3 linked regions of the Drosophila melanogaster genome follow. The protein of the gene in region 1 interacts with the protein of each later gene in a pairwise test. Each region holds a gene or a part of one and is shown in the gene's direction. Other genes may lie near its edges.

The links.
Region 2: the proteins of Uba2 (region 1) and CaMKII interact in a two-hybrid assay, tested with the Drosophila melanogaster proteins (one study listed by BioGRID).
Region 3: the proteins of Uba2 (region 1) and Septin2 interact in a two-hybrid assay, tested with the Drosophila melanogaster proteins (one study listed by BioGRID).

The regions. Positions count from the first base shown.
Region 1 is NT_037436.4:8,124,800-8,129,824, reverse strand, and holds Uba2 (Ubiquitin-like activating enzyme 2), read left to right. Parts: upstream 1-2,006; 5' UTR 2,007-2,120; coding exon 2,121-2,264; intron 2,265-2,318; coding exon 2,319-2,473; intron 2,474-2,526; coding exon 2,527-2,814; intron 2,815-2,870; coding exon 2,871-4,386; 3' UTR 4,387-4,498; downstream 4,499-5,025. Other genes in the region: Cds (CDP-diacylglycerol synthase), read right to left, coding at 35-211, 277-373, 617-741, 1,456-1,566; mRpL36 (mitochondrial ribosomal protein L36), read left to right, coding at 4,787-5,025.
Region 2 is NC_004353.4:1,048,173-1,053,024, reverse strand, and holds the start of CaMKII (Calcium/calmodulin-dependent protein kinase II), read left to right. Parts: upstream 1-1,646; 5' UTR 1,647-1,682; exon of another isoform or gene 1,683-2,331; intron 2,332-2,415; 5' UTR 2,416-2,505; coding exon 2,506-2,570; intron 2,571-2,632; coding exon 2,633-2,727; intron 2,728-3,778; coding exon 3,779-3,838; intron 3,839-4,466; coding exon 4,467-4,521; intron 4,522-4,852. UniProt on the Drosophila melanogaster protein: A key regulator of plasticity in synaptic physiology and behavior, alterations in its activity produce pleiotrophic effects that involve synaptic transmission and development as well as various aspects of behavior. Directly modulates eag potassium channels.
Region 3 is NT_033777.3:20,585,324-20,589,918, reverse strand, and holds Septin2 (septin 2), read left to right. Parts: upstream 1-1,562; 5' UTR 1,563-1,647; coding exon 1,648-1,795; exon of another isoform or gene 1,796-1,916; intron 1,917-1,923; exon of another isoform or gene 1,924-2,049; intron 2,050-2,461; coding exon 2,462-3,573; 3' UTR 3,574-3,790; downstream 3,791-4,595. Other genes in the region: Srp72 (signal recognition particle 72), read right to left, coding at 1-921, 983-1,094; CG16953 (uncharacterized protein), read left to right, coding at 4,447-4,516. UniProt on the Drosophila melanogaster protein: Involved in cytokinesis.

The DNA.
Region 1 (5,025 bases):
GCGATATAATCAGGTTATTGTATTATTTACTGACCACCCGATTAATTACAACGCCAAAGTAGTCTACCAGATTCTCTCCGTAAAAGAAGTAATTTGAGGTAAGCAGGAAATACCAGGAAAGGCTTCGGAACCAGGGCAAGCCATGAATTCGATAAACCTGGTAGCCAATCGAGATGATCTCCTGGAAGCACTTCACCTGCACCAGTAACGTCTGCAAAGAGAAAGTAGGACAACGATTATTTGAAGACTCGTTTAAGCGAATTCCATTAAACCTACCGTGATCATCAAGGCCAGCGGTCCACCATAGATGATCAATGCGAAGCCGCAGATCATAATCCATGTGAAGATGCCGCGAATCACCCAGTTCTTCCATCTGTGGAATGCGCAAAAAATAATTGTTTGTAATTGTACATATTTACTTTTAATATTTGCTCGCCAACTGTAGACAGCTGTGGATATGGATTATTTTTGGAACGCACTCATACTCATTCTGTCGGATTTATAAAATTCGCACTTCAATAAAATATTTTTTGAATCATCAATTCCAAATCGACCTTTAGCTATTCATCATGATCTTTAAAGATCCCAACTACGCATATGGATTTGTTTCACATACCTATCCGGCAGATCCTTGAGGGCCGAGTCCAATATCTCGGGCGTTTTGTCGGTTCCCTGCGGCAGATTCTTGGCCAGTTCGTCGACGAACTTCTCCTCGGGAATCTTCTCTTCCTCGGAGTCCACCTGGCAGGAGGAGGAGCAAGGGAAAGGGAAAATTCACTTATTGATTGCATTGGCTGGGACTGCAAAGTAGGTTTCCTATCAGATTCGATACGACCGGAGTGCAGGGTTTAAATACTTTCTATTGGACGACGCCGAGCAAAGTCCATGATACGTGTATGTATGTGCCTATATACCCATAATCAGAATCACTCGTTTATCCAATACACAGGCACATAAAATAGAGAGGGGAACCAAGTGGGGAGAAAAATTGCGGGTTTTTTTGGGTGGCGTGTTTTGTTGCCAAATAGCTTGGTTGATAAGGAGGCATTATCACCCAGCAATAACAAAAAAAGTCCAAGCCAGAAAGGGAGTCTGGTCATGGTAATGGTTTCGGCTCTGGGTTCTTGGCCCAGTGCTTCCCTAATTGGCGTAGTCCATCTAATTGGATTTGCTGGTCATAATGGCGCTATATTGCAACACAGCAGGTGGGTGGTTGGGTGGCAGGCAGGCTGGCTGGCTAGTGGTGTGTTTTGTGTTTGTTATTGGATTTTCTCCAGGAGAGAGCTCTCTCTTCTTTCTCCCACCTGCTTGTGCGTCAGAGAATAACAAAAACACATAGCCACACACATTTGTTGGTATACACACATTGGCTTTTCTATGCTCCAAGAATTATGCAAATTGGTGTCCGGAACAGCTGCCGCTCGGCTGCTCCACATACAAGTCATTGCTACTTACATGGTCCGAGGAGTCGGCGGCGGAGTTGCGCTTATTGGCTGCGTCAGATCCGGAGATGGCCGTGTCCTCCAGTGGCTCATCCTCGCCCTTCCTGCGTCGCACTTCGGCCATTATTCGATGTTCGCCAGATCTATTCACAATGTATTGATTCCTATTGATTCCGCTTGAGCAGTTCTCGTCCGTGTTCCGCTCTCCGCGTTTGCCGTTTGCCGTGACCCGTGCTGCGTGATCCGTATGTCGACTTCGTCCGAATTAAAATGCTTTTCTCTATTTCTGATTAGCCCAGCATGCAGTGTGCCCAGCTTGCGCAAAGTGGGCTGGTGGAGCAAAAGTGTTGGCAAGTATGCTCAATTGCTGTTAGGTTTTACAAGTTGACTTTTCGGACAGAAAATGTTTGATGTCTTTTAAAAGAACTTTCTTTTTCTGTGCAATTAACGGTGACTTTTGTCGTAATATGTAAAATAAAATATATTAATAATACTAGAAAAGTTAATTTAAGTGATAATAAGAGTCACCCATATCAGCCATCCCTGGTAGAGAATATCCGTAGCTTTATACGTTTCCCAACACCTGCACCGGCGGCGTCACTTTTCTCGGCTTTTCCGTATCGCAATTTTGCAATTTTCTCGCCAAAAATAAGAAAAAGGAAAACGTAAATTCAGAAAATGGCAGCAGCTATCAATGGTGTTTTCCCACCCACATTGCAGGAGCTGGTAAAGAAGTCCAAGGTGCTGGTCGTGGGCGCCGGCGGAATCGGCTGCGAGGTGCTCAAAAACCTTGTGCTTAGCGGCTTTACAGACATCGAAATTGTAAGTTTTTTCGAAAAAAGTATTCCATATTATTAATTTATAAACGTTACCCAGATCGATCTGGACACAATTGATCTTAGCAACTTGAACCGACAGTTCCTATTCCATCGCGAGCACGTTGGAAAATCTAAGGCACGGGTGGCTAGGGAAAGCGCACTGAGCTTCAATCCGGACGCTAAGATAACCGCTTACCACGACAGTGTAACATCGTAAGTTGGGATAGCTTTGCCTTTACATCTTGCTAACAACACATACCTTTTAGTACTGATTATGGCGTCAACTTCTTTAAGAAGTTCGATTTGGTGCTCAGCGCCTTGGACAACAGGGCCGCCAGGAATCATGTAAATCGCATGTGCCTCAATGCGGATGTCCCGCTGATCGAGAGCGGCACCGCCGGCTACAATGGCCAGGTGGAACTGATCAAGCGTGGACTCACCCAGTGCTACGAGTGCACTCCAAAAGACAAACAGCGAAGCTTCCCGGGCTGCACCATACGCAATACGCCCTCCGAACCGATTCACTGCATTGTCTGGGCCAAGCATCTCTTTAAGTGAGTATACCTAATAATTAGTCTAAATTGCAGCAAATCTATTGATTTATTTGCAGTCAACTGTTTGGTGAGTCCTTGGAAGATGAGGATATTTCTCCTGATGCTGCTGATCCCGATGCAAAAGAAAAAGACGGCGGCGATGGAAATGGCGAGCCCAAAGGCGATGGGAAGGAAAAAGGCGAAGAGTCAAAAGAGGAAAAGGAGGCCAAGGAGGATACTGCCAACGGCAACATAATGCGCATTAATACTCGCCAATGGGCCAAGGACTGCAACTATGATGCGGGCAAGCTGTTCAACAAGTTCTTTAACGAGGACATTACCTATTTGTTGCGTATGTCGAATTTGTGGAAGACCCGCAAGGCACCCGTGCCCGTGCAGTGGGATACCCTGCTGCCCGAAGGATCCTCCGGTGATCAGAAGGATGTGGCCAAGCAGCATCACAAGGTGTGGTCCATCGAGGAGTGCGCTCAGGTCTTTGCCAATTCATTAAAAGAGTTGAGCGCTAACTTCCTGAAACTCGAAGGCGACGATACTCTGGCTTGGGACAAGGACGACCAGCCAGCCATGGATTTCGTGGCGGCCTGCGCCAACGTGCGATCCCACATTTTCGACATTGAGCGAAAGTCAAGGTTCGAGATTAAGTCAATGGCGGGAAACATTATTCCTGCTATTGCCACCACAAATGCGATTACGGCGGGAATTTCCGTGATGCGGGCTTTCAAAGTGCTGGAGGCCAAGTGGGAGCAGTGCAAGGCCGTCTATGCCCGACTTAGACCAAATGCACGAAATCACTTCCTTGTACCGGACGCTTCTCTTCCTGGCCCCAATCCCAATTGCCATGTATGCGCCAGCGATCCGGCCATTACTCTCAAGATCGATACGAAGCGCATGCGTATAAAGGAGCTGCGTGACGAGGTCCTGGTTAAGACGCTCAACATGTTGAATCCGGATGTGACTGTGCAGAGCAATGGCTCCATTTTAATCTCCTCAGAGGAGGGCGAGACCGAATGCAATGACGGCAAGCTCCTAAGCGAATTAAACATTGTGGATGGTGTGATCCTCAAGTGCGACGACTTCTTCCAGAACTACGAGTTGAGTATTATCATTTCCCACTTCGATGCGGAGCGCGATGAAAACTTGTTCGAAGTCGTAGCAGATGCCTCACAGCTGAAGCCAAAGGATGAGGATCAGAAGGAGGCCGTGAAAGACAAGGAGGATGAACCGAAATCGGCTAAGAAGCGTTCTACCAACGGGGAAGGAGACTCAAAGGACGATGGACCCTCCACTTCGAAGCGCAGCCGGCCCAACGAAGTGGTTGAGGAAGATGACGATGACTGTCTGGTAATCGAGGAAGACGAAGACCAAGCAGATGTTGTTGTCGTGGCCACAGACAAGCTCTCTGTGCAGAGTCCCCCAAAATCGGGCTCCAAGCGCAAGCCATGTGAAGTAATCGAGGATGAGGATATCACCGAGATTTTGGAGTCGTCTGACGACGAACCCGCGGGACCAACCAAGTGCAAACGTTCCCGCCTGGACGATTCGAACCCCGTGGCAGTCATCAGTATCGATTAATAAAAAAAAGAAGTTTTTATTCGAATAAGTTCTCAACTGCGCACTAAATTATGCTCTTGATTCCCTGTAATTTCATTCTGATTTAAAATAAAAACACATTTTTGTGGATGATAAAATTTTTAAATTTTTGTGCTTTGAACGGGTTTGGTTTTGCTCTACTCGATTAAATTCAAATAATCCAGTGCGAGAAATGTAATTTTATTAAATAAAAGAAATATAAAATAACATTTAAAATTAGTCAAATTTTTAATTCGATAACTTTTTAACGCCAACCAGTGCTGCGAAGCACTGGAAGTCATTGTGCCTGTTATCGGTTTCTGACCAGTTCAATCCAAAACAGAAAAAGGTGAGCTGTTCTACAAATTTTCATTGTAAATCTCAATGAAAATGCAAATTTCAGATGTCCCTGGCTAGTAGAATACTGCAACAAGGTTCCCGCTTGTGGAATGGTCTCAGTGCCGCGCGTGGTTTCCACCTTCTCACCCGGCCGGCGGCTCCTGCAATTGTATCAATTCAAAGCTCGCAACTTGTGGCCGCCACAACTGGAATCTGTCAGACGTCGGGTCTGCTGACGCCTGGCTCCACTTTGGTCCAGCAGGTGGCGGGATTCAAGGTCAAGGGACGCCTGAAGCGACGCTG
Region 2 (4,852 bases), on another chromosome or scaffold:
TTTTTAATTTTAAAAAAGTGTTTCACATTCTATATATCGTCCCTCCTAGTCCGAAAAATGGGTTTAGTAAAACATTTCTGAAGGTCTCATCCAAATAGTATATTTAATTCGCGTACATAGCGCGTGTTTATATGATTTAATGAAAAAGTATAATTTGCAACAAGTAATTTCCAAGACCCTGAAATATCCTTGCTAAAAGGGGTGGGGCGTTTTACCATTAAGCTCATCAAAAAAAGCTTCAACGCATGTAACCTGCAAAGGATACATACCTACATATATATGTACGTATATATATAACTGCTTCCCAGATACATTCTCATAATCAGGATTTTCTTTTTTAAGAAATTAACCAAAAACACCTGTCGCTTTTTTTAATTGATTGAAATATGTCAATGAGAGTTAAATATATCTGGTTTAAAACAAAGATAATAAAGTTTTGATCACAAATTTTAAACTTTTCGTAACATTTGACTTGACAATATTATATTATAAGTATGTTATTTCAAAATTGCGAGGGTGCAATTAAGGGTCTACATATACCTTTTCCAGGGAAACACTTCTTTTTCATGGTGATTGGGTCTAGTTTTAAAAAAACACGTACAACAAACTAAAAACTAACAGTACCGCTGTTACCGGATATGGCAAAAAACAAACCTCACGGAGAGGTATAAAACAAGAGAGAACGTGACAGTAGTTCATCGACTATTTAACAACCCGACAGAAATGTGCAAAATAAAAGAATAAATAAAAATAATGAAACAAAAAAACAAAACACTTTGTAAATGTGTGGGCAAAATCGAAATAAAAGATTTCAAGACTGAAAGAAGCAAATTATTTTTCAAAAAAATTGGAGTTACAGTTTTAGGCGGATTAAATGTCTGGTTCTCAAGAAAACAAATTTGCATGCTTTATCCCATGCCTGTCGTCCGTATCAACGCTGTTACCGCTGAAACTATAATAACTGGAAAGTAAAACGAAAAAATAATTTCCATTTTTTATTCCTTTACTCAATACGTAATATAGGTTAATAGTAATGATTGTTGCTGCTCTTGATCAGCTGGCTATCACACTAGCTTCGTTGAAAAGTATGTAACTTGCAGAACGACGCGTTTCCGAGCGTTTAAACTATATATAGTCTTCACCAGGATCAATAGCCGAGTCGAATTTTCATGTCCGTCTATCTGTATGAACTCCACGATCTCAGGAACTATAAAAGCTAGAAAGTTAAGATTGTGCCATGCCCTTTTTAAGTTTTCGTTTATTTTTTTTCAAAAAATTGTTGAAATTGTTTTGCCAATTTTAATCGGTACGCCAGAAAAATGTTTAATATTCTCGTTCATACTTCCACTAGCTGAGTAACAATTATCTGATAGTCGAAAAGCTTTACTATAGCGTTTTCTCTTGTTTTAATTCTGCAATGGATTCGTATTTTTTCAGGGCCATAGTTTAATTTGATATTGAAAACGCCACTGAGTGGTTGATATGCATATCGATGTAAGGCCCGTTTACACTGCACTAACCGCGGAGTTATGGTTTTACATATGTAGATACCTTTGCTATTTTGATGTGCATGGGGAACAGTTAAGTGTAGCTTTGGTAAGGAGTTGACCCCTATGTTTAATAATCGAGTTTATTACATTTTTCGTCTATCGAATGTCATGTCATCTCTAGGCAACAACAAGGTATCAGATTCAACGTTTGAGATAGGATAATACATTTTCAGACATTTTTCAATTTGTGCCCCCGCACATGTTGTTTCTTGCGAAGTATGGTGTTTTTTCGTATGATTTCATGATCACATGAAAAAACTTCAACCACCAAAATCTTCAAAATGGAGGTCGAGTTTTCTAGTTTAAGCAACGTGCTTTAAGAGAACTCACTTGAATTACCAACTCAATAAGAAACCTGCGGCTGTTTAAAATAACATAACCCTTATATTATTACAAACCATTTAAAATTTGAAGAACTATATGTAGATTGCTGGTCTGTTTTGCATCGACTCCACTGAGTAATATAGAATTTTAAAATTGGAATAGCGAGACATTCTTTTAATTTTACCGATATGTGTTTCTATGAAATAAGTTACCTAATCTGTGCTCTGAATACTTCTGAATTACATTGGCGAGCTTTACTTTACGAGCTTCATGCCCGATCTTATACAGAGAAGAATGCAAGTTTATACTATGATGGCCGGGGGATTCTCAAATACATGCAGTACCCCTTTGGATACCATAGAACCAACGCTGTCTGAAACTTTTGAACCAGCTAGTGATTACTTTATAACAAAATAATATTTAGAGAAGGCCCATGGTACCTAAATGGTACAACAATGTATGTATGTTTGTACGTTGTAAGCAATTTTTTGTATAATTTTTGTAAAACTGATTTATTATCTTATATTTAAAAATCGTTTAGAAAACAAGAAATAAAACTCCTGAAAAGTGAAATCTGTAGAGCAGTTGAAGATCTTTAGTCGCAATAGATTTTCTTAAGTGTGCCATCGCGATGGCTGCACCAGCAGCCTGTACGCGTTTTTCGGACAATTACGACATCAAAGAAGAGTTGGGAAAGTAAGTTTAACAAACTCAAGGTTAATAAATTTATTATAATAACCCGTCTATTAACATTTCAGAGGAGCATTCTCAATTGTGAAAAGATGTGTCCAAAAGTCAACTGGCTTTGAATTTGCTGCAAAAATTATCAATACAAAAAAATTAACTGCCAGAGGTAAGGCTTTCTGTGTTCTATGTAGGTTATAAATCACATATGTACGCATTTATGCTATGCACACGCATGTAGGGAAACTAAGTGCTGTTTTTAGGTAATTCGTCGAGTACAGTAAAAGGGTATACTAGATCCTTGATCCTTGGAAAGTATGTATATTCTTGATCAGGATCAATAGCCGAGTCCGTCTCTCCGTATGGTCGTCGAGATCTCAGAAACTATACAAGCTAGAAGGCATACAGATTTTAGAAACAAATACGCAGCGCAAGTTTGTTGACCCATGTTGCCACATGCGCCACGCCCTCACTTTTGAAAAATGTGTTGATATTTTTTCACATTTGTATTGGTCTTGTAAATTTCTATCGATTTGCTCAAAAAAAAGTTTGCCACGCCCATTCTAACGCCCTTTAACTTCTATCGATTTGCTTAAAAGCCGCCAACCGGTCACGTCCACACTTTGGACCAATTTTTAAACTTTTTTCTTATTTTATTCCCCAATATCTATCGTTATCCTAGAAAAATGATGAAATTTCGCGTTCCCATTCACACTAGCTGAGTAACTGGTATCTGATGCCGTTTTTTCAACGGCGATATGGCATATCGTAAGAAATCAGTAGTAAACATTGACTGTCAAAAAGTTTTCCTGTAAAATGTACTTTCTTTTTGCTAAGTACGCTTTTGGAAGGGACCATTCTTTTTGTGTAATATCTTCGTCGTCCCTATCTATTTGCCACACAAGTATCAAATAGTTCTACAGTAATTAAGTTGTATTTCTTGGTGTTGTGCTATTTAGTAATTAATAAATTTTTACTGCCAAGACGTGGCCAAAATAATTTTGGAATAGCAGTATTGGCAAAGTGTGTAATTTACAAAAAATATATTAAATAACTTTTAAGAAGTTTGAGCATGACAGCTGGGACAAATTTTGGGCTTAGAGAGAACCATTTGCTTGCTCGCCAAAAACCTCTTATTAACATATTTGTACACATGCATGTATGCATATAAGAGATGCTTATAATATATATATATATATATTTTTTTTTTTTGCTTTTAGACTTTCAAAAACTGGAACGTGAAGCAAGGATCTGCAGAAAGTTACACCATCCCAACATAGGTATGCAACGTGTATATAAATATAATTTACTTACTTATTCTTTAAAGATACGTTTTTCTGAAGATGTATGATCTACATAAAAGTAGACGAACATGGCCTAATATCACTTTGAACATCTACTATACATAATTTTTATATGTACATTCAATCACGGCTTAGACCCCAGTAGTGTTGATGACTTGCAATGTGATCCTGATAAAGGATGGTTTGACGTCCACGGTAACACAACGAAGAAAAAAATAAAATAGAGTTTAGTAGATATATCAATCCGCATCTGCAAGCAACATTCCATTCCTCGCCCTCCCTACTCTCCAATAACAAATCTTCCAAGTAATTTATAATTATAATAATTATAAAAACTTGCAGAACAGCAAAAACCGAACTCATGCAATAGACTTTCCTCTCACTAAAAGCGTAACCTAACAAAACAGTTATTTACACGGACAGTTCAAATCTAGAAACATCACTTCCTCCAGCGTCACCGACAAAATATATAATATGTTCAAAATGTATTTTATAAACATATATTTTTATAGCCTTTAAGGCTTATAATCATTGTCATCCGTAAAAAAAAAACATTAAATACAAATGTATACAACTAATAAATTGTTAATATGTACAATTTCAGTGCGGCTACATGACAGTATACAGGAGGAGAACTATCACTACCTTGTTTTTGACCTGTAAGCATTAACCTGCATAGACTCCTTACCAAATATTTAAATTGCCTATCCCCAAAAGTGTTTTAAAAATATGAGTTTCTAACAAATGCTTGTAAATGTGGCAATGACTCGACTATTGTTTATTGAGATTCATACTTCATCCTTTTCCCTCCGTTCGTTCATACTATAATATGAATATGAATCAAATTTTAAAGCCGCAATATAATATATATAATATAATATGAATCAAGTTTTAGCCGCAATATATTTTTGTTATATTAGAGATGTGTTTTCTGCTGTCGCAACTTAAATATAACCTAAATTTAAATTTAGAGCTTCAATCGCAAAATTT
Region 3 (4,595 bases), on another chromosome or scaffold:
CTTTGGCCAGCTGGGTGCAGCGAATGAGCAGCGCCTCGAATTCCACCTGCGGGTAGGTCTGAGCTAGCTTTTGGCTAAGCTGTTGCACTTGGTCGCCGGCATTAGTGTAAAGTGCTAGCAGACAGTTGTTGAGGGCTATGACCTGCTTCTGGCGCGAGGTGAGCCTAGACTCACAGGCGTCGGCTAGGGCAGCGCGTATCTTCTTCTTGGAATCGAAGACGTTCTGGTCCTTATTGACCACCACCAAGTTGTTGCTTGCCACGGCCACCAGGGCTGCGTCCTTTGGCTTATGACGCAGGCAGTCCGCGTAGATGCTGGACGCCTCCTTGGTCTTGCCCTGCAGTTGGAGGACATAGGCCAGTTGGACGCGAATGACGTCTACCTCTTCAATGATCTCCTCCTCGGAGGCACACTCATCCTCAAGACAGAGCTTCTCGCTGGTGCGCAACTTGCGCTCGGCTTCAGCATACTTCTGCCGATTAGCCTGGATGCACGCGCTGTTGAAGTACTGCTCGTAGGTGTCTTCCGGCACCTCGGGCACCTCCTTGGTCTGATCCACAGCCAAGTTGGCGGCCACGGCGCTGAGATTGGTCCGACGCTCTTCCTCGTACTCGTCACTGGTGTTCTTAATGATGTCGCGATAGGAGTCTAGGCACTCATCGTAGCGCTCCAAGCGGTACAGGACCTGGGTTCGGAGCTCCTTAAGGTTCGGAGGCAGGGGCTGCAGACCCGCATCGTCTATGGTCTTAAGCGCTTGCTGCTGCTTGTTAAGTTGGTACTCGCAGTAGGCCTTCTCAAAGAAAAGCGAGGACAGTCGATTTTTCTCAATAAACTTGTAGGCCTCCTCGAACTTGGAAAGCTGCACCAGGCAGACTACCTTGCAGTGCAGGGCGGTGGGATCGTCGGGCGCTACGCCTAGGACTATGAGAGATCATAGGGAGTCATCTTCTGGATTATAACCTCGGTAATCTGAAAAACTTACTGCGATTCACTGCCTTGACAGCCTTGTCAAACTCCTGGTTATTGCCGAACTTATTCACATCAGCGTAAGCCGCCTTTATGAGCGCCTCCTTGGGATTAGCGTCCTTTGACATCCTGTTTGCTCAGCACGTTAGTGGGTGGTAATATATATTTTATTCACTGACTTAAACTTTCGACTTTCCGTTTAACATGCAAGTTTTTACAGCTGTAGACACATCAGCAATGCGGACCTGCCAGATCGCTTCTGTGTGCAACCAGAGATGCCAGATGGCGGAAACAGTTAAGACATTTAATTTTTTAAACTATTTACATTTAATTAATAACTTATGCATAAATATCTATGAATGGGACATTTTATTATTAGTTATTAAAAACTGAAACGCTAAATGATGTGTACTAAAATCTTAATCCATGAAGTGCATTTCACTGTTTGATTATCAATTTCGTTTCACTATTTGCCATTATGGCACATGTAATTCATTAAATAATTGTTTTTTAATTCTTTGTTAAGTTATAATTTTCTTGTTCATCTATATCCACACACTTCTTTGAGCCGCTGGTATTTTGGGCTCCGCGTATCTGGCCACACTTGCATATTCGCTGGCGACGCCTTTGATCCAAACTCTGCGCCCGGATTATTGGATTATTTGACTTGACTATTGGAAAATGTCCGTTGAGGTGGATTTCGTCGACAAGAAGGAGGTGCACCTCCGCACCCTGAAGCAGTCCGGTCACGTGGGATTCGACAGCTTGCCTGACCAACTGGTCAACAAGAGTGTCCAGAATGGATTCGTCTTCAACGTCATGTGTATAGGTGTGTATATGCGGGTGAACTTTGCGTGTGTGCGTGTGTATGCGGCACAGTGAATCAACCGAAGTTTTGCTTGCATACAAAACAGTGGTGACCAAAGCAATAGCACTGATTTTTTATATTCCATAAAGGAGTCACTTGGAGAAGGTTTCAAACTTTTGTTGCTTCTTAACTCAAAGATGGCTTTGTTTGCACACCAATTAGAAATTGGACATACAGTGGTAGCTCGATGCAGAGAGAATGAAATAAAAACCGAGGTGTGTGCTTTTTATTTGTTAAACTTTAATACGAGTAAAATCAGTAAAATCATATTAGAAATACAATTATTTATTGAAAGCAAAGACTATTGCACAGCACATCTTGAAATAAAGATGCTATTGTTTTGAACACCGCTGTGCTATGTACTCAAGTGTCTCATGTTGGAGTGCATTGCTCAGATAAAGTGAATCACTTAGGTACATAAAAGCGGGTAAACAATTGAAATAACCAGACGCCCAGATACGATTAGTATGCAAAGTGGCCGGCAATCGATTGCCTCCGCCACTTTCTACAATTTCACCCTGACACCAATGCCGCAGTGCTTCTATGGCCAATTGAGCTCACTTAGGCTAAGGTTCCCCAAATCTGGCACAAATCTGACCCGCATTTCGAAATCTTTACGCTCCGCAGGCGAAACCGGACTGGGCAAGTCGACGCTGATGGACACGCTGTTCAACACCAGCTTCGAGTCCACGCCGAGTCCCCACACTTTGCCGAGCGTCAAGTTGAAGGCACACACCTACGAGCTGCAGGAGAGCAATGTGCGACTCAAGCTCACCATCTGCGACACGGTTGGCTACGGCGATCAGATCAACAAGGACGACTCGTTCAAGGCGGTGGTGGACTACATCGACGCACAGTTCGAGAACTATCTGCAGGAGGAGCTGAAGATCAAGCGATCGCTGGTGACATGCCACGACAGCCGCATCCACATCTGCCTCTACTTTATTTGCCCCACTGGGCACGGCCTCAAATCGCTGGACCTGGTGTGCATGAAGAAGCTGGACAGCAAGGTGAACATAATTCCGGTGATTGCCAAGGCGGATACCATTTCCAAGGTTGAGCTACAGCGCTTCAAGGCGAAGATCATTCAGGAGCTAAACGCCAATGGAGTGCACATCTACCAGTTCCCCACCGACGATGAGACGGTGGCCGAGACCAACACCAGCATGAACTCGCACATTCCCTTCGCCGTGGTGGGCAGCACGGAGTTTATTAAGGTGGGCAACAAGCTCATCCGCGCTCGCCAGTACCCCTGGGGCACGGTGCAGGTGGAGAACGAGACGCACTGCGACTTTGTGAAGCTGCGCGAGATGCTCATTCGCACCAACATGGAGGATATGCGCGAAAAGACACACACGCGCCACTACGAGCTGTATCGCCAGAAGAGGCTGGAGCAAATGGGCTTCAGCGATGTGGACAGCGACAACAAGCCCATCTCGTTCCAGCAGACGTTCGAGGCAAAGCGCTCCAACCATTTGGCCGAGCTGCAGTCCAAGGAGGAGGAGGTTCGTCAGATGTTCGTGCAGCGCGTTAAGGAGAAGGAGGCCGAGCTGAAGGAGAGCGAGAAGGACCTGCACGCCAAGTTCGAGAAGCTAAAGCGGGATCACGCCGAGGAGAAGCGCAAGCTGGAAGAGTCGCGCAAGGCGCTCGAGGAGGACTACCTTGACTTCCAGCGGCGCAAGCAGCAGTTGGCCACCGCCCACCACACGCTCACCCTCGGCAAGAGCAAGAAGAAGTAGAATCCGGCGCCGCCGCCTCACAATGTATTGAGAATTCTGTGCGGTTCGCTTATCCCAAAGTAATTATTGCTTTCTCATCTCGTTGTCTTTCATTTGTACTATTAAGTTTACTTCAAATATTAACATATACACAACTACACGCATATGTACGCAGGCATATAATGATTATGTATTTACAACTAACGAATAAATCGAACTTAGTATTTTAACAAAGTAGAAAAGAGCTGTTTGCCGGAAACTTGTATTCAAAAAATTGTAAACTTTTGTCGATATAATGTGTTTTTAAGTGTGTATTGAAGGCACCGCTGGATAAAGACAACAAAATAACATTTTATCTAAGATTATCCTGGTTTCCTTAGAAGTCACTGATTGATATGTATCAATACATATTAAGTTTATATTTTCCTTGAATTTCTTTTAAGCTCCGCTTTTTAAATACAAAAACATGGTAATTTGAATTTCAAGATTGGCGGGCTTTTCGTAGGACGTAAGTGTAGTACGGCCTTATTTTACTTGTCTTGTGCTTGCCACCTGGTCACACTGTTACCCACTCATTCACTGCAGGCTGCAAAAATTATAGAACAAATTAAAAACGCAATAATAGAATCACCGCAGCGAATTCGACGCAATCACGGAGTCCAGTGCTCCGTAACCCAAACGAAAGCAATTAACCGTGTTCAACGTAGAGAATAGTCCATGAAAGTGGGTGTATCCGTTGGCAAAAAGCAAGATACCCCTTTGTGTTTGTTTTTTGTTCGTTATAATTTTGTTTGTCGCTCGGTTTGGATTGCGATTTAATGGTAAGGGAGGGGACTCGCCGCAGGGGTGCTCCCAAGTGATTTTCCATAGCCAGCGCCGCCGAGTGGACGGGAAATGCCAATCGGCATGACGAACATGTCGCCAGCAGCGTCATCACTGGTTTTCCTCGCTCTTCTGCAGACAGGTATGGATAATGCTAATGGTGGCAGTGGGTAGTGGTTAATGGTTAATGGCTGGTGCAGTGTGGATATGGTAGTCCAGAA